4 linked regions of the Oreochromis niloticus genome follow. The protein of the gene in region 1 purifies or fractionates together with the protein of each later gene. This does not show direct contact. Links are inferred from orthologs where the notes say so. Each region holds a gene or a part of one and is shown in the gene's direction. Other genes may lie near its edges. The genes, in order: ncbp2, kpna3, phax and importin subunit alpha-1.

Region 1 (7,042 bases):
TTGTTTGCGACAGCTTTCACAGGACCTTAGAAGCATTACTGTGATGAAAAAAAGTGGGAAAGGCTAGAAAAACTAAAGTGACCTGAATGTTCATCAGTCTACAATGAGCCAAATTGTCTGTAAATTAGGTGTAATTTAGGGCTGCTGCTCCTCTGCATTTGAGACATACTGCAGAGATCATCCCAAGGTTTCAATCCCAAAAGAGGTAGCAGCAAAACACCTGCAGACATCTCCACAAATAGGATGAAAACAGTAAGGAAACCACTGCACTCCAAAAAAACCTGCTCCTAACTATTAAGCGTGGAGGTGGTAGTCTCATGTTTTGCAACTGTGTTCTCGAGCCCATGACACCTTGCGACAGTTGAAGAAATAATGAAGTTAAATTGCATGAAGACATTTTGTCAGGACAGCAGTCCATAACCTGGAGCTTGCAAAGCAATAAGAATACGAGTTAATTAGCACCAGAAAACTGGAAGACAGTGAAACAACATTAAGGTTTTGATTAGGTTTGACACTAATCCAGCTGAGATCCTGAGGTAGGACCTTCAGAGAGATTTTTTGATCTTCACATCCTGGGAGTTTTGTATAGGAAGGAAGGCTCCACTGTTTCTCCTCAGCATTCTGCATGTTGCGTAAGCACTTATTGGCCATATCTGATTGTTGAAGGATGTTTCACAAGTTATGGAATTCAAGAGTTAATTTTTAACTCTTTCCAGCCTTTGCCATAACTTCTTAATGTGTTAAATTAAACAATGAAAAGCACAACTATGTGTGTTAATTAGCTTAGTCAGGTTGTATTCAAGTTGAGTGAAATCATCGTAATTCCAAATGATTCACAAACTCCCTTCTTGAAGCTGTGCATAGATTTTAGAAGGTCAGCTTGTCCTTCTTCCTGACACAGAAGTAAGAATGTCTCTCACTTTTGCATTGTTTGCATGTCTTTTGAGCTTGGCTAGATTAGGTTAGCAGGTGTGTTAAGAGAAGGGATATTTACATTATGATTAAATCTCTGCCAGACCCAGCAGATCTGTCAGAATGGTCCGCATCACGCATTACTCACTTTCCCTCTCTTTGAGGATTGTTTGATCATTGAAAGGCTGATTGCTCCAGCAACAAAGCCGAAACCCAGACTAAACTATCTACACAGATAATAATGCTTTGTTCTTTGGAGAACTCAAAATGTAACTACTGCATATGAAAAACCTTCAGGATCTGTTAAGAGGATGATGTCCTTGAACATACTGATTTGATTGACACACACTGGTTGTTTTTTTGTTGTTTTTTTGCTTTGACTATAACAATATGTGCTTTCACTTTATTTTTCCAGGTTCCAGGAGGTGCTGCTGAGTGGAGACCATGTGACCTCTGATGAAGATTAAAAGGCAAATGTGAGAGAAGAGTCAGCAAAGCTCCTGTTTTCCTTCTACCAGCTTTGCTTTTTATTCAATAAACCTGTGCATTTTGTGTTCATAAAACGCGATTGAAACATGTTCAGATGAAGTAAGTTGATCTCTTGGAATAATTTAATCCTTCACAATTTTGTCATTTTATTTCAACACTATTCAATAACTTTTACCCCAATACTACTTGGTCACTTAAATACTACATGTTGTCTTCATATTACATAATGTTCAACAAAGTCTAGATCCTGGTTACCATAAAAATTGAATGGGTCTACAGCAACTACCATCCTCCTATCATCTTTATCCTGGTTGCAGGGGGGCTGGGAAATAACCCTGAAGTGATAGGTTACGAGGCAGGGTACAACCTGGACAGCTCACCAGTCTATCACATAGAAACAAACAACCATTTGCACTTACATTCACGGGTAATTTAGAATCACCAGTTAACCCTAACTCTAATAACTGCATGACTTTTAACTGTGGGAGGAAACCAGAATACCCACAGAGAAACCACTGCAAACAAGCCAGAATGTAGATTTGAACCCAAGACCTTCTTACTGTGAAGCAACAGCACTAACCACCATGCCAACAATCTAGGAAATACAGGAAAACTATGATTTCCTGTATTTGATGCAGAATTTTTTTGTTTTTGTCCTTCACAGGTTAATCCACAATAAATAGCAATAGCATGCACGTGGTGTGTGTGTGTAGTTGTCTGCCTCTTATATCTCCAGTGATTTTCCTGCAGTTTGAAATCTCGTGCGATCTTGTGAATTTCATGAGTTCAGCAACTAACCACTCTGACTAGATTGTTTTATGTCATCTCAACAAGAACAAATTAAGTTGTTGAATTTCGTACAGATCCTTCATGATTTAATTACGTTCATAGAAACACGAAATTATGTTCAAATTACAAGTTAGACTTTTTTAATGTAACAACCACCCAATTTACTTTTTTCGGTATACCAAAAAAGTAGAGGCGGCTGCTCGACTTGACTGAGATGGATGCCTTCCTCAAACCACGATCCAAAGAGCACGGGACTGAAACCCGTGCAGTGTCGCGGGATTTAACATTGCTATATTATTGACTTACTTCACTTGAACATGATATGAACAATTTAATCTAGCCTCTCTGCATATCATGTAGTCTCTACACTATATAGTTACATTTAACTTTAAAGCATGAGACACTTGTTTTAAATACACGCAAGATGCTTACGTAAAACGCTGGCCAGTCCCTTTTTTTCAGTGTGTATTTGACTGTGGGCTCAATACGCTGTACCGTCTCTTCATCTCTTTTCTTAATTTCTTTAATTTTATAAAGCGGGTTTATTCACATCTGCACACTGTTTTTGTTATTTAGGGGGTTTTTTGTTCAGGAAATAATTTAGTGTGAAGTGGGAGTCAGGTCAGACTAGGATACGTTTTGTTTTTTTTGTTTTTTTAACAGTAAGAATTTGAATTATGTAATAAAATGTTTGTAAGTACTTTTGTTCTTTTAATTTCTTTTTTTTTTTTACTACTTGAAAACTACTTTAGCTAACCCCTAGTTATTTCTATTTTAATTTCAAGCAGGCTTGCAATTGTTTTTATGGTCTTCAGCAGTAGTTCTGCAGGCTTTCTGAAAGTGTTACTAGCATCCTCTTGCAAAAATGCAAATTTTGTTTTCACTCTTCTAATTGAAACTAGAAAGACCCAAAATGGAAGACTGTCATGTATTTACTTCGTCAGAGCCCAGGCCTCAACATTATTGAAGTGGTGCACAATCATCTTCACAGACAATGGAGCAAAAGGCAGCCAACATCCAAAAAAGAGAGCTCAGCTTCATTAATTAATAATAACTTTTTGTTAAGCATAAGATCAAAGTAAATTAATTCTCCCCCCCCCCCCCCCCCACACACACAGACACATTTTCTCAACATATATAACATATATAAAACAGTAAAATATTAACAAAATAAACTATTTAAAAAAATAGCAGAAGAAGAACGAAGGAAAAGAGGGGCACTGATACTTTAGTAGCCAATAATAATAAAAGTGCAGTAGCCAACAGCATGGCACCACATCTCACACAGCTCCAGCAGTCATGTGACTTACGACTCAGTTTAACAGTAGCAAGCTTTCAGTCTTTTTGTGTCCAGTTTGGACACAAGAAACAAAACGAACGACAAACTTTTAAAACTGTAATATTAATGAATAAAAACAATCTGTAATTTGGGAATAAAAGCCAAATTTGTTGTTTTATTTTTATTTATTTATTTTTGTTGACTTTGAGGTACTGTGACCTTTCATTAAAAAACATATTTTAGTATTATTTAAAAAAAAAAAAGTTGAAGTTCATGCGTGATTATGCCCTTGTACTTGTGTAATAGAAACAGGACTCAAAATAGTATTTTGATGCGTAATTAACATTTTTTAACATTTTTTTTTTAAGGTTTGGGGGTTTTATGATTTATGCAAATAGGTCTTTAAACTGTCACAGACAGTCTGCCTGCTGGTAACAGTGACTGTATCTTGGCAATGATTGAATATCAACCGATGACTGTACAAATCACTGTTATGTGTTTTCTACAGTCAGTGATACCAACAGGCGGCGCCATTAACCTGATATAGAAGTTGCTGTACCCGGACTTATTCAAAGGACGGACACATGAAACGGAAGCAACATCATCGCTTTTCCGGCATGCTCCTAGTTGAATAGCAGCAAAGCGCCTCACTGCGATTTTTTCACGATGTCTGTTAAACTAAACGCGCTAAACAGTGATTCTTACATTGACATTAGTCAATACAGAGACCAACACTTTAAGGTAAATGAGGAAGTGGTCTTTAGGAACGCGGTGACTTATCATGATTTACGGGAATGTAAATGTAATGTATCTTATAGCTAACTGTTAGCAAACAACAAAGGCGAGCGGTGCTGTGCAGTGGAGGTGACTCGGGAACAAACAGAACAGCAAAACATATCTCTGTATTTTAACCTGGCCTTAAAAAGTCCTGATGTTGTTTTATGATGCTTCGTTAGGACTAAAGCGTGGCTAACTTATAAATTAACTCCTTGCTTCAACACAGGTCGTTTGATCGCTATAATGTCAACTTCTTGAGAGCAATTTTTTTAAACATTTGTAACGTTGCTTGTGCTTTTAGGGTAATCGCTATGAACAGGAGAAGCTTCTGAAGCAGAGCAACACTTTGTATGTGGGCAATCTCTCCTTCTACACCACCGAGGAGCAGGTAAGACACAATACCTTCACCAGTTAAAGTAATAACCCGGCTTTATTGGAAAGTTGCTTAATTTTTTAAAATAAAATTCTTCAAAGAGACCAATATGATGGGGGAAATGGCTGACTGAGCTACTAATAGATTAGGAGACTCATTTATAAAACAGTACATGTCATCTGCCTGATAAACAAACATGTTTAGTCAAATATTGTCCTCTAGTTATGCCACCAAAACACCACTGGCATTACACATAAGCTTCAAGTGTTTATATGTTCAGAGCAATCACACAGATTCCACTGATGTGTTGTCTCAGTGGAAGTTTTAATAGGTGAATTTGATACATTTATGAATTTAAGCCTTTTTTGAATTATGAAAAAAAGCTTATTTTGATTGTAAAACGCGTCAGACTATAAATTTACAGTCCATATGTGCAGGTGTTGACTGCACATATAGACTGACTAGAGTAGGTAGGTAGGGCATGTGTGTGACAGGCGCAGCAGTGCACTCGATGTTGGGTGGCTGTAGTTCAGGAGTTGGAGCAGGTTATCTACTAATTGGAAGATTGTTGGTTTGCCAAAGTATCCTTGGGCAAGATGCTGAACCCCAAGTTGCTTTCTAATTGTGTGTGACTGTGAGGTAGAAAGTGCTTGTATGAATGGATGAGTGAGCCATGTTGTGTGCCTGAAAAAAGTCATGTAAAGAATGGCATTTTAGCTGTTCTGAGCTTCACAGCAGCTTGACACTTTCAGCGGCACTGCACTGAAGCTGTCTTTGTGTTCAAGGGTTGGAAAATTTGATGGAAAAAACTGAACGTCAATGTGTCGCACATAAAATATATGTCAAAAACACATAATAGACATATTTTCAGTGTTGATTTTTCTGATAGTTTATCACAAGAGAAGTCCCAGAGTTGGGAAATTCACTGCAGATATTTTGTTAAATTTTCTCAAGTTTTCTAACTTTTTTTGCCACTGTGAACAGGTACACGAGCTGTTTTCTAAAAGTGGAGATGTCAAGCGTATCATCATTGGCCTCGACAAAATCAAGAAGACTGCTTGTGGGTTCTGCTTTGTCGAGTATCCTTCAAAAATGTTTAATTCATGCTAAAAGAAACTGTCAGTAATTTGACTGCCTTCAGAATAGGGCTGGGCGATATGGCCTAAAATCCATATCGCGGTATAATTTGAAGCACGTGCGGTAACGATATATATCGCGATATATTCTTTTCTTCTGTATAACGTATTTTCCACACTATGAGGCGCACTTAAAATCCTTTAATTTTCTCAAAAATCGAGAGTGTGCCTTATGTATGAATTCTGGTTGAGCTTACTGACCTCGAACCTAGTTTCCACCTAAACATGACATATCATGTTCTGACTGAGAGATTTTTGAAGCTAATTAAAACGTACAGCTCTGCTACCAGTTCCAACATAAATGAAGACAGAAAACAAACAGCAGTGGCGTTTGCAGGGTTACTGAAGTTGGACTACCTGGTATATAATGTTGTGCTACGTGATTGCTAGCGACACAGCTATGTTAGCATAATATTAGCACAGTGAAGCTGGAGGATGAACGCCAACTTTTTTTCCACTCGATAAAAGTTAACGTGAGGGTTTCTGGTGGTTAGGGACAAAGGCAATCGCATGGCAGGATGCTATACACGGGCCAAACTTCAGTCAGGAGAACAACTGAGATAATCCATCCACAATACAAGGTTAGTTATTAATATACTGCAACAACATGGGAATAGAACAGCTGCGAGAGAATTCAGCATTAATGAATCAATGTTACGGAAGTGGAGGAAGCGCAGTTTTTGGCTTTCCCCATATTTCAAAAGTGCTTCATCTCTTTGCTATGACTGTCACCCGGCATAATTTGCAGATGATTATGGTTGTAGCCGCTGCGATGCTTTCGACCAAAACAGGCGCAGCTTGATGACATCATCAACATGCGCTATCGCGGTAGAGCGGTATAGTCAAAATCTCTATCATTGGCCAAATTTATGTCGTTTCTATCGTATATCGTTTCTATCGCCCACCCCTACTTCAGAATCACCTTCAGAAGTTACCAGAACATCATGAATTGCACGTGTTGTGCCTTAACGCTGTCCCAGATACTACACCCGTGCAGATGCAGAGCATGCCATGCGCTTCATTAATGGCACACGGCTGGATGACCGCATCATCAGGACAGACTGGGATGCCGGCTTCAAGGAGGGAAGACAGTTTGGTCGTGGCAAATCAGGAGGACAGGTGAGGGTTAGGATATGAGTACTTTAATAAATGGAAGCAACCTGCTGTGGATGCCGACTGCTGGTTTATTTATTTATTTTTATTGGAGCAAACTACAAAGCTAAAAGTTAGTTCTGTGAGTAACTGCACTCGTATTTGAATTAATCCAAAAAGATATTAACCCACGAC
Region 2 (7,291 bases), on another chromosome or scaffold:
CCAAGTAGTGCACCAAAATCACCTGCCTTAAAAGAAAGCAAGAAGCTATTTCTGCAGATTAACTTGACATACTGGAACTACGTAAATGCAAAGGAAGAAACTTGTGCAAAGAGAATTATGAACTCTTTCCCCCATAAAGACATTTGATGACCTCCCCTGTACCCTATAACGGTGATTTTTGACTCCTCAGACACTCCTTCTGATTCTTTTCCCCATAAAGACACGGTTTGATGACCATTAGAGTAGTTTCCAGGTTTTTCCAAGGATAGCTGCATAGGCAGAGACCACCCTCGTAATTTCTGATGTAAACCCATTTATTTGGTTTTATAAGCAGGCCTAAACTTTGACAGAAACCACTCAGATCACAGTAGACTCTTAGTAGGCTTTAAAGGGGCAAAGAGTAAATCTATAAGTGATTATCATTAATTTTATTATGACACAAAGTATTTTCATTTTCATCAAATTTAGATCAACCACTCACTCTGCACTGTGTTTCAGATTTAGCTGTTTGAATGTTTTCTGACACACAGGGAGTGATCCATCTCTGCAAATATTTTTGCTAGAGAAACCAACTTGTATGAAAGTTGTGATTGATCACTGAGTTGCCGTACTGAGATTGTTTGAAGTGTGTGACTGTGAACATGCACACCATACACACAATTCAAGATGAGCTTATATTTTTTCAAAAAGCAATAGGATTTATCAGATCCAGCATTTGATCTGTGGTGTTTGTTCTGTCCTATATGATGGTACTCTGCAGCCCATGTGCAATGAGTCTGCACATTTATTTATATCAAATAATCATAAAGACAGATAGAGGCAGTCACAAAGTTAAAAAGAATATAAGTGCACGGCCTCTCTCAGAGACAGTAACTGGACCGCTTATTAGCAGTCGATGCTTTTCGACAGTTGTTTTTATGCAAGTAAGGTGAACTTTACACAGCTTGTAACTAACTAGCTTGTAAGGTTGTGGTGCAGCACACATGTACGTTATCATCTGTTCTCTTTATCACTTCTTACTGGAACACTAGGAGCTAAACAAACTGACATAGTGGCCCTCGCACACATTGGCCCTCACTAGTGTTTCTTGAGTAATTCAGGCTACTTAGGCATACTTCTAAACTCTTAAGTCTTTGATTACAAAGGCTAAAATGTAATTTACGGGTTCAATCGGCTAAGTGCTGATGATTATTACCTCTTTTCTGCTGATGCAGTGCAGTTTTGAGTCAGTTCTCGCTCGGCGCCTTTTGAGTACAAGCCCACATTTTGACAGGTTTGAAAACCAGCTGTTGTGTGGCAGAAGTTGGGGTGATTTCTGTGGGAAGAAAGTCATGAACACATTCAGTCTGTGGGCTGTAAATCATCTTTTTGGGGGTAGCCCCTCCCATTGATGTCAGTGGTTTCAGCTTTGGGAGCAGCAGTTTGGTGCTACAGTGTTGATGGGTTTGTTTGTTTTTGGTTTAAATGCATAGAACCGGTTTTGGATTAGACACTAACACTATGTTGGCGGCAGAGATTTAGCGTGTCTTCATCGTTTTGTTTATCCATCACAAAATGCCTTGGCATGTTTTTTAAATCCAACTTTGTCAGTCACATTTTCATTTGCCATAAGAGGAGAAAGCAAAGAAGTCTGTGAGATGGGAACCTTAGTGTTTTGTATTGTCTTCTTGTCTTTGTTTTTTTGATAAAAGTTCTGTTTAAGAGAGAAAAAAAACAACTTTTCCTGCTTCTTTTAAAATATAGAAAAGATTTTAAACATGGCACAGATGTAAGCTGTGACCTCCCGAGATAAGATACTTCAACAAGAGTTTCATGCTTTTCTCAGCTTGTGTATTTGTGTTCCTCAGGGCATCACATATGACCACGTGGAGCTGAATTTATATCTGAACGGAAAGAACATGCATTGTCCTGCCTCAGGGATCCGAGGCACTGTATACCCTGTTGTTTATGGTAAGTTGATTCTTGGTTTCATATTTTCACTAGTTATCAATGATTGCTAACCATATGATCATTGTTGCCTTACTTGAATATAACAAAACAAAAAATATATGGATCCTTTTGTATTCGTTATAGCAGTTACAACTTGATTCCACTAGAGGGCTGTATTGCACATCTTTGCACAGCTGTTCTGCAGACAGGCTGACAGATTTAGTTGAATAGAGTTTAATAGAGTTTTTAATGTGAATATTTCGCCACACACAGGAAAGAGTGCTCTATTTGAACTGATCAAACACAGCTTTCATCAGAAGGCAGCGGCCTTGCCACAGAGAATCGAGGCATGCATAATTTAGTCCAGTAAAAAGTTATTGCGATGATTTCAGTGACTTGATTCAGTTCTCCATCTGATGTGTGGAGCTTGTCCAGATAATGTTGGACAGCACACATGTAGGATGTTTGCTCTTGACCTGAACTCTCTAACTAAAGCTGTGATCAGAATGCAATCGCAAGTGTCCAAAATTGTATTTAAGATTGGGGTGGGGGGGGGGGGCGGCATCACCTGGAACCTGATCACATCACTTTTAATTTGGACTGCTTCCATGTGTACTTGTAAATCAGATCTTGGTGTAATATTGTGGCGTAAACAGCCAAATCACAATTAATTCGCTAGCATGTCCTGAGTGTCTGAGAGTTGTAGGTAACAGTTGCCGTTAATACCCAGATATTTAGGATGAAATCTGTTTCATTTATACCACCAATCCCAACCACTGCAATTCTGCATACACAAACACATCTATAATGTGCTGTTTTCATCCCTGTGTTTGGTAACATTCTCAGACAACACACGTACACAGGCTCAGGTTGAGGTTTTGAGAGTTTATCTCATAAACAGAAGAAAACCTAAAGCTGTTTTCACAGAGTATATACTTTCAGGGTCTTTAAAGGTGAAATTCAACCATAGAAAAGTTAAGATGTGAACAAGAATACAGTGTCTGAACTTATGATTTATCGTGTCTTTATCTTCTGTTCTAGTGGATGACAGTGCCATCTTAGACTGCCAGTTTAGTGACTTCTATCACACTCCTCCACAAGGATTTGAGAAGATCCTCTTTGAACAACAAATCTTCTAAAGGAGCACTTCGGCCTCAGCCCCTCTATATGTTGTCGCCCTCCTCTATATCTCTTAGCAACCTCTGTATCACTACAGTTTGACCTTAACTGGTAGTATCATTATGCGTGGCTTGGAGGCATCTTGTTTCGTTCCCCCTGTTTACTCTCTCTCTACTGCTGCTCTGGATTGACTTTAGAGTACCCATGAAGAAGTGGGGATTTCTCTTCCTTGTTCGACTACAATCGGCTGTCACAGTCCGTGATGATGGAAAGCTGTAAAATCACAAACTTATGTCAATAATAATCAATCCGTATTAATTGAAAACCTTTCAGTTGCTGCTTTAATCCACAATACATGTGTGTAGATAACAGACAATGGATGTAATGGTATGTTCACTGTTTTTCAGGATGAGAAGCCATGTGTTATTGACATTGCTTTATATATATATATATATATATATATATCATCCAAAATATCATACTAACATCTCAGCATACACCCTGTATTTATTTGTATTTATTTGATTTCCAGATCAAAGTTTGGCATCTTATTTTTTTGATATAATATGTATTTTGTTTTGGCCAGCAGAAATTAGTGACCCAATGAAGGGTCAGCTATAATTCTAATACATTGACTATTATGCTGCCTTTTTGAATTATCACGCAATGAAAACATGGCGATACCGCAACACCTTTATGATTAATGTCACTGCATTATTTAGAGTTGATAGGAAGATTAATACAAACAATAAATCAGTGCACATTCCAGGAGGTGATGGTGCTGGCAACTGACATATTTCTGAAATTGTAAACACTAATATATATAAATCACTTCTTTGAGCAGCCCTTTTTTCACCCTAAAAAATATAGAGTGTGTTTATTTTAACTATCAGAATATTTCCAGAGCTGGTGCTGGTCGTCTCTGATTAGAGATATATCAGAAACGTGGAGTTGTCGTTATGTACAGGCATTGCATATCCGCTGCTGAAGTGTGACGATTAAATATTTCAAATGCTTGTCCTTGTTTGCACTAATGATGTTATTGTATGAAACCAAATACTGTTGATTCATTAAAGTTTTGTGTCTGGCGGCATCATTCTGGAACACTGTCATGTCTTGAGATTGTAGATCATGAAGCTGAGTATTTTTCATGTGCCTCGCTGTTAACGTGGCGGTTTCGCAGCTTTTTTACGTCCGAAAGTCGTCGTCGTGCGCAATAAATCGCAGGTGAATTTATTGTCACTGCATCGAGGAAAGCCGTGGAAACCAGGGCAGCCCAGACAGGAGGTATGCAATAACTCCTCCCCTCACTCTGCGATCTGTTACGTACTCCTCCCTCTGTTCGGAGCCAGCAGCGGCGCAGGACCTGCCGTACATCGTCTTTCACGGAGGAGATCCCGAAAGCCGGAGTAACAGCTAAACCCCATACAGCCATGGCAGAAAACGCCGGCTTAGAAAACCACCGCATCAAGAGCTTTAAAAATAAGGGGCGTGATGTCGAGGTGAGCTGACATATAAACGTTAGTCTTCGTAACATGACTCGAATTAAATTTATGTAGAAAAAGAAGGTCTTTGGGCCTCCGTGGGGAGCCTGGCCCCGGCAAAGCTCCCTGCCAACCAGCCAGCCTGCTAGTTAGCAAGCTAGCTGGCTAATGCGAGCTATCGTGAGGAGTTCGCCATCAAAGGTGCTATCTTGCTACCGGTAAAATTCCTCGTAATGAACCAAAGGTGGTGATAGCTATCAAGTTCGTACCAGTGGCTTGCTAATATTGTAATGTCTGTGAACGATAAACTGTGTTCTATTTGAATCATTGGAACTGGGGAAATTAAAGGCAGGCGATGTAGCTGTCAGTGCCAGCTAGCGTTAACTAGCTACTTGCAGAGACACCGGTCACAAGCAAGGCTGGGCCCTCCCGGCTCCGTAATCCTGATGTTCGCTCTGTTTTACAGCCAGCTGAACTCAAATGACACCCGTGTTAACTCGCGAGCGTCTCACACAATTGCCATATTAAGCAAAAAGATAAGTGTGTGTATAATTAAATGTCTGTTCCACATCCACCCTAACCAAATATTGCCCCTCCTTGTTAGCTTGCTAATGTCAAGCAAATGACTAGCATGCGATGCCAGGTGAGGCGGCTGAAGAGGGCTGCTAACTAAGCCACTAAATGGTTAGCTGAAAGGTAGTGATGCGGTGACCTTAGCTTTACGGTACATTTTCAATCAGAAAAGCAAACTACACTGAAATTGCTACAACACCACGATGAAGTGAGGAGAGGCACTTTAGGCACAACATTAAGCTTCCATTGCTGTTAATAATAACTTTTTCTGACATTGCGATGTTATATGAAATTTCTTAAGTTAATCTTAGACATATTTCATAATAAACAGTGCTGTTACAGAATAAATGGTGAGGGCATTCGTATCAGATTCACTGCTAAGACTCATTCTAGAAAGCGCCATCAGTAGTCTGTCTGCACAGCTGGCAAATCTACGCTGGGCATTTTGCAGCATCATTCATCTCACGAGTCTAATTATAAATTTCTCTGACAGCATTTGACTGCAATGCTCATTGACATGATTACCAAACCATTTGGGTAAATGCTAGGCTAGGCTAGGTTCAGAGAAGTCAAGATAAAGGAAGCTGGGACCAAAGGCTCTAATGAAGTACCAGCTATTTTTTTTTGTTTTTTTTGTTAAAGATTCCATATGTTATTTTTGGATTTCATCAGTAAACAACGCTCAGCCATGGCATTCACCAACAAAGACACACTTGTGCTGTGTTGTTCTGATCTATTGGTAATCCTGCGATAATCCTCAAACAAAGGTATGTCTGGAAATGGCCCTTCAAAATCCACCAGTTTCCAGAAAAACTCCAGTTTCCAAAAACACAGATTGAAGACCTTTGGGTGGTTGTTTTGAAACTCGGAGTCACTTTGACAAGCACATGGCTACTATGACAAGCAGATTTGTGCCAAGTGAATTCCTGATGCTATTTTTGACAACTTGTCTGACCTGGGTCCTCTTAAGAGTGTCAGCGTGAATTTGAGTTTTTGTAAACGGATGACTCAGACTACAGCAGAGGGGGGGGAAAAAAGCCAGTTTGGGGTTTTATTTATTTAGGTCAGGCATAACAGATTGCTCTTCATTTCTGACACCATTTGGAACAGCAATGAATTGCAAAGCAGTAAAGCCTCGCTGCTACAGGCCATAAAACCCTTCTTTGTTTTACTGCACGTCATACACAGTGTAGATATTGGACAGGTTGTTTTTTGTTTTGTTTTTTTGGACCCCCAGTAACAAATTTGAAAAGAGTTTTTGTTTTTTCTCCCTTTTTTGGTGTGTTTGGTAGCACCTGTGTGCCCTCATCAATTTTAATTTTATTTAAACATATTTGTTGTACCAGTATTGTAGGAACTTTTAAATATTTTAGGTCCATCAAACAATCAGAATTTCAGCAATGAATCAGTTTAAATGTTTTGGTCTAGTTTAATTTGTCTTGATAGTCAAGCTGGACGGCTACTTTTCATCTCGGCAAAGGAAAACATTTTTCAGTGTAAGCGTCGTTATTGTTGTTTTGCAGTGTTTGGGAGACACCTCTGCTCTGCAGCCTCCCAAGTTATGACTTTCCCAAATTACGTAAGAGGCTATTTAGGAAAGCAACATGAACCTCTTCAAATAGTCACAAGATCTGAGACCATCTCAAACTGTTCTGGATGAATTGGAAACCCAGCAGACGCACAAATACAGCAATTAGTTACTCTCTTTCTCTGCTTGTCCTCTTTCTGAGTTGTTTTATTATGATCTCACTTTCAGTTGGATTGGTGATGGTTGCTTTTTGTGAGATGCAGAATCTTAGTTTTTCATCAATTTTGTGTCACCTGTTTTTAGTAGTTTTTTTTTAAAAATATATATCCATTAAATCACTTGGCGTAAAAGGCTACAGTGTCTGTTTTCTAACAGTAAATGACATGATTTCTCAAAAGTTGGGAAAATTTTCTCATTTCCTCTTGTGTATTTTTGTGTGTGTTTGTTTTCATTGCAGACTATGAGAAGACATCGAAATGAAGTGACAGTTGAGTTGAGAAAGGTGAGAAACAATACCCCATTCATCTACACACTCAAGTATTGCAAACCTTTTTCTGTTTTCCAACCAATGGGTTTGGACGTATCAAGTTTTAACATGCTTCATATGGATGTTTCACATTAAGAGTTTCTAGAAACACTTGGGAAGAAATCTGCCTTT
Region 3 (7,693 bases), about 7.3 Mb from region 1:
ACCTTTGACTGACTGCATCGTCACACTTTACACTGGAAGCTACGCTCACTTCCTGTTTTGGCTCAAGATTTAAACCCAGAGTTATGATAAACCATTCTTTTCTTTACAGGCGATAGAAAACTGATTAAAAGTGTAAATCAGGGCTAAAAGCCAAAATATCAGCCTGCATATTTCAGTCATTATAGTGATGATCAGTTGCATCAACAGCAGAGTTTTTGACAGAGTTCAAACTGGGATTCACTCCCCACTCTGACACTGAGCTGCCGGCTTCCTTCCATCTTATACTCGGTGAGTTTCGTTAAGTTCAGCCTCTGCAGGCGTCCTGTGTTTGAAAACGTACCGACTGCTGCGATGGCAGGAGCTCTGTTGTAGATGTATTTGGTGCACACGTCCTTTATGGTGTTGGCGTCGATGGCCTGTGGAGAGACATGACAAACATGGTGGAGGATCAGAGCAAAAAGAGCTTTTCAAACACTATTTCAGGTCCTGCTTAAAGAACACTGTGCCTGGGATGTTACCAGATTTACTTTGAGGTTTACTCGGCCTTACACAGTTTATCACTGTGACTCTGTTATTGTTCTGGTCTAACTGCTTTAAATGTAAAGAAACCTGACCTTATGAAAAATATACTCTTATGATGTATTTTAACTTTAAATATGGAAGCAGCAATAAGCACACACACGACGAGTGCTAGAAAGCTCAGCGTTCCCGGGATCTCACTTCCTCATCTGGTTTCAGTTTTTCTACGTTCAACAATCACGAAGGTGGAATTCTGCGACATTCTCCGACACCACGCTCTAAGAACGCATCAACGTGGAGATGTTGGAGACACGATACAGCAGCATGTGAGTGAGAGAGGGCCCTCCCAGTAAAGACACAGTCTCACCACTATAATCTGTCTAAACAAGTTACCATGGTTACCAGTTAAATAAAAAGGGAAGTACAGGCCTCAGTGAGCTGCAATAACAGAGACATACTGTTAGCTTTCATTTTTACTCCTTACAACAGTATAACAGAGCTAACTGCAGCTGCTGAATACTGAGAGTGCGCCCAGTTATGAACTTGTACAAAACGCAAATACTTACGTTGGATTTCCGGTAACAGTTACTGAGAAAGCAGAAGAATCTGTCGACTCACCTCAATCCGGGCTTCCAGCTCATGAAGAGGGATCCTGCGACTGTAGCACAGCATCTGTCTGCCGATGTCCTCGCAGATTGGGGTGGATCCTGGAGGAAGCGGATCAACACGTGAAACCAGGCACCGCACGACTGCACGCTCTACCGTCACGCTGCCTTACCGTCAAGATGCAGCAGCATGTTGGTCTTGAGCAGATTCTTGGCCCGAGCTACCTCACTCTCCGTCACACTGGTACAAAGAGAAATCCTGACAGGAAGCAGCGACACACAAGCGTTAAACACGTTCACGTCATCAGACTGTCATCAGGTTTAACCTTCTTTAAACCTGACGACTAAAGCACTCACCATTCCATTTGAGTGAAATGCATCATGTCGTTGATGGTGCTGGGTTCACACACCATGTAGAGTCCCCAGAGGCCTGTGTCTGTGTAGCAGGTGTTGAAGGACTGGAAGCTATGGCACAGGTTCCCCTGACAGGCCATCTGAGCCAGCTTACTGGACAGATTCTAAACTCAGAGGACATAAAAACAAATGATTTGCTGAATAAATGCTGAGCGTGTGGTGAGTATGTGTGGTCAGTTTTTATTTAAAGATGGCGAAGAAGAGGAAGAGCATTCAGCAGCAACACAGAGAAAACGACACGTGCCACATCCAAGGTTTCCTCAGTACTCACCACGCCTCCACCAAACGAGCGGTCCCAGTTTCCAATGAGCGTGTTGGCTACCATGAGTGGGATTGTGTCGGGGTGAGACCATCCGACAGCCTCTACGGCGATGGCGATGTGAGCGAGCGGCATTTTGTCGTCACGCACTCGGATCTGAAACGGTAGCAGAGTCCTGAAGCATTTACCAAATTAAAGCCGTTTTAATAACTTGAAATGAAACTCTGCACCAGTTTCACAGTCAACGAATGATTCAAAGCACACAAATACTTAACTAGGGTCTACTGGATCTACTGATATCTAAAGTTCTCAGTACTGTGATACAGGCCTGCAGGAGTTTTGTTTTGAAGGCACCAAGCTGGGTTAGAGCAAATCCAATCTGTGCATGTCTGGACTGAGACGAGCAGCAGGCGACACGATGCCTACGTGTTTATGGAAACTGAGTGCATGACTGTTTTTAAACGTCTTTTAAAACACTTCAAATACAACTTGAACGCAAACTTGTTCTGGTTACTCTGCTAAACAATATCTCACTGTCTCTCCGAGCATCTCCAGCTGCAGTATAATCGTTCATTTCAGGGAATATCTGACAGGCCTGAGCCATCACCTTTCATTTGCATCCTCCTTAGAGACATCCGTGTTACTCTGACACACTTGATCTTATACTTTAAATAACACAATTAGCTGCTCTGTGCTGATGTGACCATTTGATGCCCAGTTATGCAGTAGTGAGAAACTAAAGTTAGCCTTACCTCACTTCCTGTGAAATGGCACAGTGGAAGAGCCGGGGCTTCGCCTTGATGTCTGCCGGGAAGTTTTCCAAAGTGATACTTGGCCAAATCGATGAGCTCGTCATGACAAACACCTGAGCAGAGAGGGAACGAGTCCTGGAGATCAGATCAACTTTACTCTGGTTCAGAATTTATTGCTTACTTTGAGCAGTGCTCATGCATCAGTGAGTGTTTGCTGCAGGTTGTACAGAAAATGTTAACCAAACACGTGAGCAGACAAACAGCTCTGACCTCCAGCAGCAGCCAACACTATTCTGGGTCCTTTATAGTGAGCGGTGATATACTCCACCAGGTCTCCTCTGTTGATGGTCCTGCATCACAAACACACAGCAGGAAGCTAAGCTGTGCAGGATGCTGTCAGCAAACCTCAGAGTACTTTGTGTTTTTAGGTGTTTGGTCTCACTTGATGTTCTCAGTGGGGCCCAGGATGGTTCTTCCCAGTGCTGTGGACTGGTACGCTGTAGCATGCAGATAATCAAAGACCACCTCTTGCAGATTGGTCTCCACTTCCTGCATCTCTCTAAGGATCACCCCTCGCTCCCTCTCGATCTCCGCCTCTCCCAGCGTGCTGTTCTGGATGATGTCAGCCAGAATCTCCACAGCTTTGGCACAGAGAAATATTTTATACTTTAACACATTCCAGGTTTTTCTTTTGAGATGTTGCTGTGTAACATTCAGCCCTTCTGCCCTCCCGTACCTCTCGGAAGATCCTTGGAGAAAGCTTTGGCATAGTAAACAGTCTGCTCGCGGGATGTGTAGGCATTCAGGTGAGCCCCCATGTTCTCGATCTCCAACTCCAGATCAAGCTGAGAGCGTTTCCTAGTGCCCTGTCACACATTTACACAGACAAAGTGAACAAACTCTAGAATGTTATTTTCATTTTTAAAGAAACTGAACTATTACATTTATGTCATTATTTTGTTATTACGCTGCTGTGAACTATTTGAATGTGTTAATCCTGCACGGGGCAGCATACATTCAAATAAAGACCACTGCTTTAAAAACGTTCCTGCGTAGCTGCCATCACCTTAAATGCCATATGCTCCAGAAAGTGCGCTGTGCCGTTATTTCTCTCGTTCTCATAGCGACTCCCGGCATCTATCCACAAGCCCACCTGGAAGAAAGCAGGAATTAATATCCGCTTCCACAAACTGCTGCTACTGTATCACACCCCCACATCTCAGCCTGTAGTGGTAAAGCTAGCAAATGCTAACATTCTGTGTAATGCCTATTACATTTGGCTGGCTGCTTCACAATGGTCATGGTATTTTAACCACATATTTTCGTGCACGTATTAAAGCAGCCTGTTTTAAACTGTTTACTTCCAACTTACTGTGCAGGTGGGGAGCCCCGAGTCCTCAGATGCCACCCGGAGTCCGTTCTCTAAAGCAGTCACCTTGGTTTCGGGAACATTTAGCGCCACCTGGTGAGCAGCTTGAGTAGCCAAGAGTCTGTACGGTCCAGCGGTGAACTACGGGAGAAGAACAGCCAGTCATGACGCTTCAAAATTGGAGCGTTACGTTTGCTCCTACCAGTCAGCGATAATGAATAAATCTGCGCCATTGGCGGTTGTATTACACAGGGCACATCCGAACATCACCGTAAGAGTTGATTTGGTGATAGCTAAGATTTCGACGACTGTTAGCTAGCTTAAATAGCTGTTCGGCCATGCACAGAGCTTTTCCTCTGTAACACTGAGCACTGACAACTGTCACAGCTATATCAATTAAATGAGATACTCAAAACATGACTCTGAATCAATTCTTCTTACCCTGATTATTGAATTCTTCTTCAGTAAATGTCTTTGTAAGAAAAATCTCCCAGCAGAAGTGAGGCGCTGTACGGACGCCGCCATATTGTTTATCTGTAACGGTGCCGTTCTGCTGACGCAACATCCGCCGGAGATGACGACTTACTTTGTTCATAGTAGGTAAAAAATACCACAGGATTTGATGACAACCGCACAAAGAAATATATTCTTACAATCTCCTTAAATAATAAAAAATAGAGATAAACGCATCTGAACAAATACCTTTATATTTCAGACATTGATCAACCTATTATATGGAAATATGAAATGCCACACGTGTAAATGCCAGTGTAACCGATTGGTTTGTCCGTTAGCTCTGAATAAAGTATTAAAGTAATATATATTTACATTTAGGATACTTAAATTTAAGTGTTCTCAACCATATTTTATGTGATTCTGCAGTGTTTATAAAGAACGTTCTAACGTTTAATCGCTTTTGTTTATTTTGAAAGGGTGTCAGAATTTGCAGGCGGAAGTGTCGGTTTAGCCTAGCGCGGATTTTATTCCGTGAGTTTCAAGTTGGTCTGTTAGCTTCTTCCTAGCAGTTCAGTGTGTGAAATAGAACAAGGCTGAAGTCCAGCTGTATACAGAGCAGAAAGCCTGCTGCTGTAGCTTGCACTGGAGGTTTTTCCTCAGTAACCCGGACTTAATTAATTTTCTGTTGGGTTCAACGGTGTCGTTAGCTGCTAACGGTGCAGCGTTAGCTGTTCACGCTAATTAGTGGTCTCAACTTTAGCCGATGTAATAAAACAGGAGTGTGCAGCCATTAGCGTCGGTGTGGCTTTCAGAAAAGAAATGGCGGGAGGCGGAGATATCATGGACGGTGATCTGGAAGATGGAGAGATCTCTGGGTCCAGCTCGGATACTGAGATGGGACCAGCCACAGTAGCACAAGAAGCTCGACCCCAGGTTCCCTCGACTTTCTGCGGCCAGTCTTTCCAGAACAGAGCCTATGCTCAGGCACTTCCAGCCGAAGCTTATCGCAGCACAGGTAGGACGGCAGAGTCTAGTGACAGTGACCCGGAGTCCTCTGACGAGGAGGCGGCTGTTTGGCGCCGGAAACGCCAGAAAGTTACCATTGCTCCACAGCCGCCTGCATGCAACGCCCGGCTAGGGCCGACCCCTCTGCCCGCCCAGGGGACGACGGGTGGCCGCAAGGTGAATAACATTTGGGGCTCTGTAGTACAAGAGCAGTGCCAGGACGCTATCACTGCAGAACTTGGCATATTTGGCATGGATGGTGTTGGCATGTCCAGCAGGAATGTGGAGACTTATAATTTCGTCCTAGCTCGGAAGATAATGGAGAAGGAGAGGGAGATGGAGGCACAGTCAAATGAAGGAGGAGAAGTGAGCATGCTGGATGCTGAGCTGGAGGAGTACATGAAGGGTAGGGGGTCAGAAGAGAACACAGGAGCTGATGCAAAGAGAAAGAGGCCTGCAAAGGAGCGACTGGGCCCCAGAGAAGAGATGGATGTCAAAGGCCGCTATGAGATCACAGAAGGTGACCCTGAAGATAAGGTGATAGATGAGATTGCGTACAGGCTGCAGGAGCCCAAAAAGGAGCTGATCGCTCGAGTTGTCAAAGTAGTTGGCAAGAAAAAAGCCATAGAACTGCTCGGAGAGACTGCCACCCTGGAGGAGAGCGGCGGTGTGTACACCATGGATGGCAGCAGACGCCGGACACCGGGTGGGGTGTATCTCAACCTGTTGAAAAACACCCCCAGTATCACCAAGGCCCAAATCAAGCAGATATTCTTTGAGGAACAGGTGAAGGAGTACAAGAGCAAGAAGGCTGCCCAGAAGAGGAGGCGGCATTTGGTGGCCAAGAAGATGAAGCAGGCCATTGGCACACTAAACCTGCAGGAGCACGATGACGTCTCCAGAGAGACTTTTGCTAGTGATACCAACGAGGCTCTGGAGTCTCTGGAGGAAGCTGCAGAAGACGAGGAGGCACAAGAGGAAGCTGCTGTGGGCACTGAGGAGACAGCAGTGGTCTACAACGCGGCAGACCTGGAGGTGTTTTGAAAATGGCCTGCTGTCTGAACAACGATGCTAATGAAACACTGAAAGCACTGAATATGCGATTGATACAAAATCCACACTGGTGTCCTTTTTTGTTTATTTTTTTTTTTAAACCTCAGCAATAAAAGCAGCGCCTCTGTTAACACATAGCTTGTTTCATACAGCATGAACATGTTGATTGGAGCTTTTGCAGTTCAAATGTTGTTTGCCTTTTAAAACCAGTCCTTATCAACAAAATAATGTTGTGATAGTCAAATACATAACCATTTGTTGCTGTAAGCATCATTATAGAAACAGCTCTTGAGTTATTATTTTCATGCACCTCGGTCTGGAAAATAATAAAAGTGGTGACTCAGGTAAAAGAATTAAAAAACTGTAGGGTTCTTATTTTGTACACTCGCTTCCAAACACAAAATAATATAAATATTGAATAAGCGGAGTTTTATTATCATCAGATCATTATTACTGTCCTGTCATTCATACCAAGTGGAGCTTCTCAAAGAAAGCGAAGGCATTGAATGGCAGATGTAAAAGTGCTGAAGTGTCCACTAGATGGCAGCCATGTTCCAACTTCTGCAAGAGCTGATAGCCTTTTTAGTCCAAAGCTGTATATCAAAAGAACCCTTAACTGTTCCATACAGCATATATCAAAATGTATAATATAAAAGAATAACTCAAGAATTAAACTGAAAAATGCAAAACTGCATGTGTATGAGACTGCCACCTGCTATAGTAAAGGTTAAACTAACAGAGTTCACAGGTGTCTTGCTTAATTTGTGTAACTCTGGTACAAATGTACACAGTCCCCATGGCTTAGCCGTGTCACACATATGGCCTGGGGGCGAGAATCAGGCACACATGAAAGCTTATGAAAATGTAAAAGGAGGAATTATGTTTTTACAATTAAAAATAAATAAATCTATTTATTCATCCATTGAGCACCACAAATGATAAACGTCCACCACGTTAGACCTTTCACATTTTTCATTTATTTATGCAGGTGGTTAGGACAGAGTGTACTCCTAAATGACATCCTCAGTTACAACTTAAACATTTCTGCACTGATGAAAATTTCAGTTCCTGCTTTTGTTTGGATTTTTTTTGCGACACTACTACTCAACGAGTAGTGTCTTGATCAGGAATCCTAAATGTCAGCTGAAGAATGATGGATTTGCTACTTCATGGACAACGTTTTGCAGTTGATGGAACCATGAATACGGCTTTCTACAAGAAAATCATGAAGGACATCCTCAGTTACAACTTAAACATTTCT
Region 4 (6,993 bases), on another chromosome or scaffold:
GTGCTAATTAGCCATCTAAACTTTACCAACTTTGGATATTTTCTCAAAATAAATGTCTGCGTTTACTTGATGGTGGAACTGAGTGACACTGAAAAAAAAATCTTAGCAAGGTTTCCATAAAATATGACGGTTGATAATAGCACAACAGGCCAGAGGGCTAACATGTTAATGTGATTTTGTGTGTGTGTGTGATAAAGAAGACCAGCACTGAAAACCAGTCTGTCTTTGTCTCACATTAGACACGTACCAAATTCACTGTAGCAGTAATGCTCCTTCTCGTCCTTCTCCTTCCTGCACTCGCTCACACAGAAGGCGTCATGTGTGAAGTCGGACTCTGTGGGGAAGGAGGACAAACACAGCGAGTCAGGGAATGACTGAATCTCATTCCAGCATCATTAGAAAAGACGAGGCTGTCATTACAAAACCGAGGCGTCACATTCCTCGGCAGGGGGCTGGAGGAGGTGGACCGTGTCTCGGGATCACGCTGGTGGTACATTTTTTAACCTTAACTACAAAATCAGAGCTTTCCCCCTTGCTTTGCATTAGTTTCATTATAACCACCACTGGGCTGCACACAGGGGATGCACTGACAGCCAGAAGTGAGGGAAGCGGTTATAATTAGTGGCAGGAGACTTTAATTACCTACCAGAGGAAAAGACAAAGCCACCGCTCTCATCACAACCCTCTGTGTGAACTCTGTGACCTGTGTCAGCATACAGGACATATATACTGGCACAGCAACAGATTGGACTTTTCAAAGTGATAATTAAAGTGATATTTAAAGCACAGGAAAGAAAACAGCAGTGTAAATTTAAACTCAGCAGGATCCACTTTTTTCCACTAAAGGTTTATAATAAAATTGAGTTTGGGCCTTTCCTTGTGATCAAACGTCAACTTCCAGTAATGACACTAAGAAAAATACAATCACAAAGCAGCTCTTTTTCATTCTGTAACAAATGTTTTTATTGTTTTGGTAATTTGCACTCATGTAATATATATTATTTAAAGGCCAGAGGCTGCAGATGGTTACGAGGGAGAAATATTGTAATATTAAAGATCAAAGATGTTCCCATCTGGCTACAGTCTTATTCAAGATTAATAATTTAAAATCTATACTCCCAGAAGGGAGTAAGGTTCAAAGAACCCATGAAAAGATATCTGGACAGCTCTGTAATTATGCACAGGTCACATTTTGAGGTCAGGAAAGGAAAAAAAATCCTCCCATACCTCGCCGCATGATGTCAAACTGATAAAGCAGGCTGGAGGAGCGCCGGTTAAAGATCACCGGCGGGCGGCTGTTGTTCCGGGTCGCTGCACTGATGCCAGACTGATAGAGACTGGACTTCCCTGGCCGGTTCTCCTCTGGGTCCATGCGTCGGTTGGGGGATCTTTGCGCGGGGGAACAGCTGGTTGTTGTGGCTGAGCCTGAGGTTGGGTCTGAGGCGGCGCCCTGGGTCTGGAGTTGGGGTGTCCCTCTGGCTCGCCGTTGTGAGGAGGACTGATGTTGGACTGAGTGTCCTGACTGGGTTTCTGTACTGTGCGGTTGGTGGAAGCACCTGCAGCTGCTGTGAGCTGGGTTTTGGGATGCAGACCAGTAACTTCTCCTCTGGCTTTCTCGCTGTTGTGCTCCTCCGAACGGTCGCTCTTTGGGCCCTTCTTGCTCTTGCTGTGGGGACTGTGGTGGCGGGGGATGTGGGCCAGGTCGGTGTGCTTGGGCCACACAGCAGAAGGAAGAGGATGGAGGCTGAACTTGGACTCGCTGCTCTTGCTGCTCTTCTCTAGGAGCTCGTTGATGGGCAGGTTGGGCTCTTTAACCACCAGTCTGCTCTGATTGCTCAGAGCTGGATCCACAAAGCTGCTCTGACCCTTTTCTATCAGCGTGTACAGACCTGCAGTCGAAAGAAACAAAGCTTCACTTTAGTTGCGCAGTTTGGCAAAAAGAGGTCTACGACAATGGGTGAATTTTGTGTAATTGATAAAGTGGACCTTCCTTGATGAATTCTTACTAATTACTCGATTATCAATAGAGTACAAACAATATTATACAATATTATCCCTTTTATGCCTGAAATAATTACAGATTTGTCATTTTTGAAAAATACTTGAGTGTTTATTGAACCTTATGATAAATAAAAATACATAAATAAATATAAATTTGCACATGTGACTCTTAATTTGTATAATTTTTTGCTACATCTGCCATTTTTGTGCAATTTATTGCTCAGCAAAACAAAAACACATAAGAGGGTTAGGGTTAAAAACATCACACTGGTGATGTAAGGGTCTCAGAAATTCATCTATTAAATATGATACACTTAATGTTACAGGGTTAAACATAGAAGGTACAACATGAGGTCAATTCACTCTCCATCTAAAGCATATTGTATATCTGTAATTGCATGTAATAACAGATATTTAGGATATTTATGAATGATAATAATGTCACTAAACACGGCATTCAAAAAAGATTAAGAAAAATAATCCACTCACCATTAACGACATGCTCCTCTGTGTTGTAAAGAGGAAACACCACAAACAAAAGCGTCAAAGTAATCCCTGCCATCCTTCAAGCTCACTGTGGACACACTTTCAGGGGTCTGCTACACAGTTGGGATTCCTGGGATTTTTATAGGAGCGCTCAGGAAGGAGATGGGATGGAAGAGGGAGGTGGTGGGACGTCCCAAACACAGAAAATAAACACTTGGACGTGACACTCCTTTCATTCATGCACGGATTCTGAATAGGCCCGCAGTGTTGTTTACAGCCTTTGAGGGAAACTGTGACTCTGTGTGCGTATTGTCTGCTTCACACAAAGTCAGGTTTTATTCAAAGTGAAACTTTTCCTGGGATGTGGTTTCCAGTTGACTGTTTGAAGTTGCATTACTGGGCTTTTTAGTTATTTAATAATAAATAGCCTAGTTATATTAAATAGGTACTAATTAGGAACAAGAGCTAATAAGACTTTCTAAGTTAACATCCTTCCTCACTTAATTTAAATACAGTTTTTAGATCTGACTGATCCATGTGTATTCACTGCCCTCTGCTGAGCAGAAATAGAGACATCTGAAAACAGTGATGGCAGATGTGTTTTTTAATGTCTGATATGTTGGCTTATATTGTTAAATAGGCTGTAGTCAATAAGATATAAACAAATAACCTGTTTTGAATATATATATTTATGACTTTGTGTTATTCAGATATATTTACAGAGCAGTTAGCTGCTGCTATTTCTGTTGCCCTGTCGCCAATAAGACAGTGGTTTACTGCTCCTCATTGTCTCCAGGATGGTTGTGGCTGTGCTACAGACGGTTTAGATAGCCATAATATTGTGGTACAGGTTCTTTGAGGCCCTTTTTCATAGATCTGCTGTATGTTACCTGTAGAGAGATTTTTGTTCTTTTCATTTTTTTTTTTTTAACATTTTATATATATCAAATATAACTGTGCAGATCAACTGAATGGGTTTATGAACAAGGCACAAACCATAAAATGTTGAAAACAGCTTGTTACAGGATTCATCGCTGGTCATATGTTCAACCCAATGACTGTAAAAAATAAAAATAAAAAAATGTCTCGTTAGTATTATCACACAATGTACAACCGGATGTTCCAATGTTCCAATATTCTTGTTTCTGAATCTGTGAAAGAGCTCACAGTAGAACCCTGAAAAGGAAGCTAAATACGACCCAGATGGGACTCGAACCCACAATCCCCAGCTCCGGAGGCTGATGCCTTATCCATTAGGCCACTGGGTCATTACGTCGCACAGGTAGGGAAAATTCAGTCATGAAAATAGAAAATCGAATATGTAGTCAGTGGTATAATTCATTTAGTTGATAGTAAAAATTGCATGTATTTTTTATTTAAAAGAGGAATAATTAGCCATGATAAAATTTACAACCCAGCAATAGCATTTAGCACAAGAAGAACAAGCTACCGCACAGAAACGTTAACATGTTTTCTCGCGATACTGACAGCGGTTGCCTTTGACAACATATTTGTTGTTTGATGGTTTTTTCCTTAAACGTGACCAATGAGGCGGTGCTAAAAAATCCAACTGGCCAATTAAAAATCAGAAAAATTGGAACGTTGTTACGTGACGTTGTGCATATATTAAAAGAATACAAGAATTCTGAACGGTAAGCACGTTGTACATGCTATGTGGCTAATAGTGCATTTATTTGTTTTTTGTCTAATTGAAATTGCTATTGACCTTTTGTAATTGCTAATACAGCGTATAACCTTTGTTTTCTGAGCTTCAGCGGGTTTTTAGATTATTAGACAGACCCTATATCTGAAGGGCCACATGGTGTTAGATAACCGGCTTGGCTTCGAGATAACCGCCTGGTTAGCTAGCTCAGCGCCTGCTTACTAGTTGACACCTGAAACTAAAAGCAACCGTGGCTGCTGCCGCTTATTCTTTGTCGTTGTGAAATTATTACAGGTAGCGCCTGATTTTAGTGGAAGCGATTGTGTTGCTCAACGGTCAGGAATGTCAGCGGGCACGGACAACGGAGCGAGACTCAACCAGTTCAAAAATAAAGGAAAAGATGCTGATGTAAGCTCTGAACCTAGCAGTAAACGTCAGAGTTAATTCGGTATCCCAAATGCCCTGAATGCTGTGGTATATCTTTTATTTGTCTGTCGGTATGATCAGGAGCTGAGGCGCAGAAGAGCGGAAGTCAATGTGGAGCTGCGAAGAGCCAAGAAGGATGATCACATCCTCAAGAGGAGAAACGTCCACAGCCTTCTGGACGAACCAACGTCCCCTCTGCAAGAGAAAGACCCCAACGTAAGGGTAATCAGCAGCTCCTCTGTGTTTTGTTTGGCTGTGAGAGTAAAGGTGACCCACCTGATATAACCACAGCTGCTTAACTTGTTTGAAACATTGGATTATTACAGAAGTTAACTCGTTATAAACAGGATGTAACAGCCTCCAAATGAACACCTCTGCAGAGCATGCACACAGGAAGAAAAAAAGCTAAGCCTGCTCAATTTGCGAGCATTATCCAAAGGTCACTAAATCTTGGAGCAGGTGTCTGTCTGGTGATAACAGACTGTTGACTTTTTAAAAAGTTGTATCTCTGATAATTTATGAAAAGTCCATTTATAATTGATCTATGTTCCCCTGATTGAGTTACCATGACCTAAAAACATTCAAAGCAAGTTCCTCTAAATGTGTTATTTTTAGCTGCTCTGGTTTTATTGGCAGTAATCCCCTTTCATTTCTCTTTCTGTTTTCATAGCCTCCTCATCACTGGACTGTAGAGGAAATTGTCGGAGGTGTAAACAGCGAGAATTTAGATTATAAGCTGCAGGCAACGCAGGCAGCCAGGTAATACTTGTAATGTTAGGTTAATTGACTGTGTGTGGGTGTGGAAGTGTGAGACAGTTGCTCAGTGACAACCTCAAGCTGGAAGAAAAAAAAAGGTTGCGTAACGAGGCACTTGTGTTTTTGTAGTGTATTATAGTGTACATATTTTTTTTATCAGTGCAATTTGCACCACTCTGTTGCACACTCAGTTTTTTACTTTTTTAAACTTAACCTCATTTTTTTTTTTTTTTTTTAAATTGGTGTCGTATATATATGAAATGTTTGCGCTTTCTCCCAGTAAAAGGGGCTCACTATGGGCCTGTGGCACTTTAACTTTGTTTATTTGTTGTACACTGTACTATTCTTATTCTTTGTCCTCCTTCTGTAACACTCTCTATCTGCCTGTAGTTATATCACTGGTATTACTATATCAATGATATTAAGCAGTGTGAAAACTGATTTTCCTTTACTTTTAAGTTACTTCAATTTTAACAACGATCCAACTCTGTTTTTCTGATTCACAGAAGGCTACTTTCCAGAGAAAAACAGCCACCTATTGACAGCATCATTGCTGCTGGACTCATCCCAACGTTTGTTAGTTTTCTGGCGTTGTCTGAATGCCCCCCCATCCAATTTGAGGCAGCTTGGGCCCTGACTAACATTGCCTCAGGTACTTCAGACCAGACTTCTGCTGTAATAGATGGAGGGGCCATTCCAGCTTTCATCAGCCTGGTGACATCACCCCATCAGCACATCAGCGAACAGGCCATTTGGGCTCTGGGTAACATTGCAGGTACTGTGGCTCACAAAACTCAACCTCTTTCTTTGGATTTGATGTGATTTGATGTACTTCTGTGCATTACTACATCCTACACTGTTCCAGGTGTATGTTCTGATAGTTTTGATGTCAGGATGCGTTGTAGATTATTGTGGACAATTGTGCCCACTTTAGTTCATCTGGAGTTCCATTTAGCCTGTGATATTAAAGGCTTTAGAGTGCATTTCTGTATGTATACAGTAAAAAGTGTGTTGTTGCTGAGTCCCACTTTGGGTCCATTTTCCAAACGTGATTAAGCTAAAAACTAGAAGTCTGAAATTTTATCTTTGCTAACCTTGTGTAGTTTCAAAGTATCTGCCTTTATGTGCCTTTTTTCTGATTACTCTAAAGATGTTTTTTTCCCTCTATATTTAGGTGATGGGCCCAGTTCCAGAGACCTAGTGATCTCACATGGTGGTGTCCATTCACTCCTGGCTTTGCTGTCAGCCCCTGACCTGTCTGTATTTCCTGTGAGTTTCTATCAAATATTATTGTGCCTTTAACAGACATTTGTATTAAATTCTCTCACGATACATACATCAACAACCTGAACAAGTTGAAACAAACAGCTTTTATACCTTATATCAAAATAGAACACCAGCAATTTTCTGGCATTCTATAAACAATTAAATATGTAATTAAAGACCAATCCAAAACTGAAGCTCAAGTAGATTGACACATTTTAAGGGGCAAATATCAATGAGGCCTTAGCATGAGCTGTGAATCTTTTTATTCCTGTTCAACAGGTAATGCACACCTTTAGCTGACAGTAGTGAGAGGTCACTGGTTTGATTTGGGCAAATTGGGCAGTTATTTACTGGGGTAATCCATAGTGCACACGTTCCCTCTGAGCTGCTCTCAT

Evidence for each region.
Region 2: the proteins of ncbp2 (region 1) and kpna3 purify together in Homo sapiens (co-immunoprecipitation; 3 studies listed by BioGRID and IntAct, with this or other methods). This does not show direct contact. The link is inferred for Oreochromis niloticus from reciprocal best matches to the Homo sapiens genes NCBP2 and KPNA3.
Region 3: the proteins of ncbp2 (region 1) and phax purify together in Homo sapiens (affinity purification with mass spectrometry; 5 studies listed by BioGRID and IntAct, with this or other methods). This does not show direct contact. The link is inferred for Oreochromis niloticus from reciprocal best matches to the Homo sapiens genes NCBP2 and PHAX.
Region 4: the proteins of ncbp2 (region 1) and importin subunit alpha-1 purify together in Homo sapiens (affinity purification with mass spectrometry; 4 studies listed by BioGRID and IntAct, with this or other methods). This does not show direct contact. The link is inferred for Oreochromis niloticus from reciprocal best matches to the Homo sapiens genes NCBP2 and KPNA2.

The regions. Positions count from the first base shown.
Region 1 is NC_031981.2:31,413,995-31,421,036, reverse strand, and holds the start of ncbp2 (nuclear cap-binding protein subunit 2), read left to right. Parts: upstream 1-4,034; 5' UTR 4,035-4,135; coding exon 4,136-4,210; intron 4,211-4,547; coding exon 4,548-4,634; intron 4,635-5,603; coding exon 5,604-5,698; intron 5,699-6,735; coding exon 6,736-6,874; intron 6,875-7,042. UniProt on the Homo sapiens protein: Component of the cap-binding complex (CBC), which binds co-transcriptionally to the 5' cap of pre-mRNAs and is involved in various processes such as pre-mRNA splicing, translation regulation, nonsense-mediated mRNA decay, RNA-mediated gene silencing (RNAi) by microRNAs (miRNAs) and mRNA export.
Region 2 is NC_031987.2:21,794,089-21,801,379, reverse strand, and holds the start of kpna3 (importin subunit alpha-4), read left to right. Parts: upstream 1-4,277; 5' UTR 4,278-4,481; coding exon 4,482-4,550; intron 4,551-7,090; coding exon 7,091-7,135; intron 7,136-7,291. Other genes in the region: spryd7b (SPRY domain-containing protein 7b), read left to right, coding at 1,848-1,950, 2,971-3,068. UniProt on the Homo sapiens protein: Functions in nuclear protein import as an adapter protein for nuclear receptor KPNB1. Binds specifically and directly to substrates containing either a simple or bipartite NLS motif.
Region 3 is NC_031981.2:38,745,720-38,753,412, reverse strand, and holds phax (phosphorylated adapter RNA export protein), read left to right. Parts: upstream 1-4,785; 5' UTR 4,786-5,193; coding exon 5,194-6,423; 3' UTR 6,424-7,187; downstream 7,188-7,693. Other genes in the region: pmpcb (mitochondrial-processing peptidase subunit beta), read right to left, coding at 341-416, 1,138-1,226, 1,298-1,383, 1,482-1,642, 1,810-1,953, 2,550-2,662, 2,820-2,899, 2,992-3,190 and 4 more. UniProt on the Homo sapiens protein: A phosphoprotein adapter involved in the XPO1-mediated U snRNA export from the nucleus.
Region 4 is NC_031971.2:28,190,285-28,197,277, reverse strand, and holds the start of importin subunit alpha-1, read left to right. Parts: upstream 1-3,993; 5' UTR 3,994-4,139; intron 4,140-4,150; exon of another isoform or gene 4,151-4,444; 5' UTR 4,445-4,492; coding exon 4,493-4,558; intron 4,559-4,657; coding exon 4,658-4,798; intron 4,799-5,246; coding exon 5,247-5,335; intron 5,336-5,838; coding exon 5,839-6,107; intron 6,108-6,506; coding exon 6,507-6,601; intron 6,602-6,993. Other genes in the region: procollagen C-endopeptidase enhancer 2, read right to left, coding at 248-334, 1,228-1,372.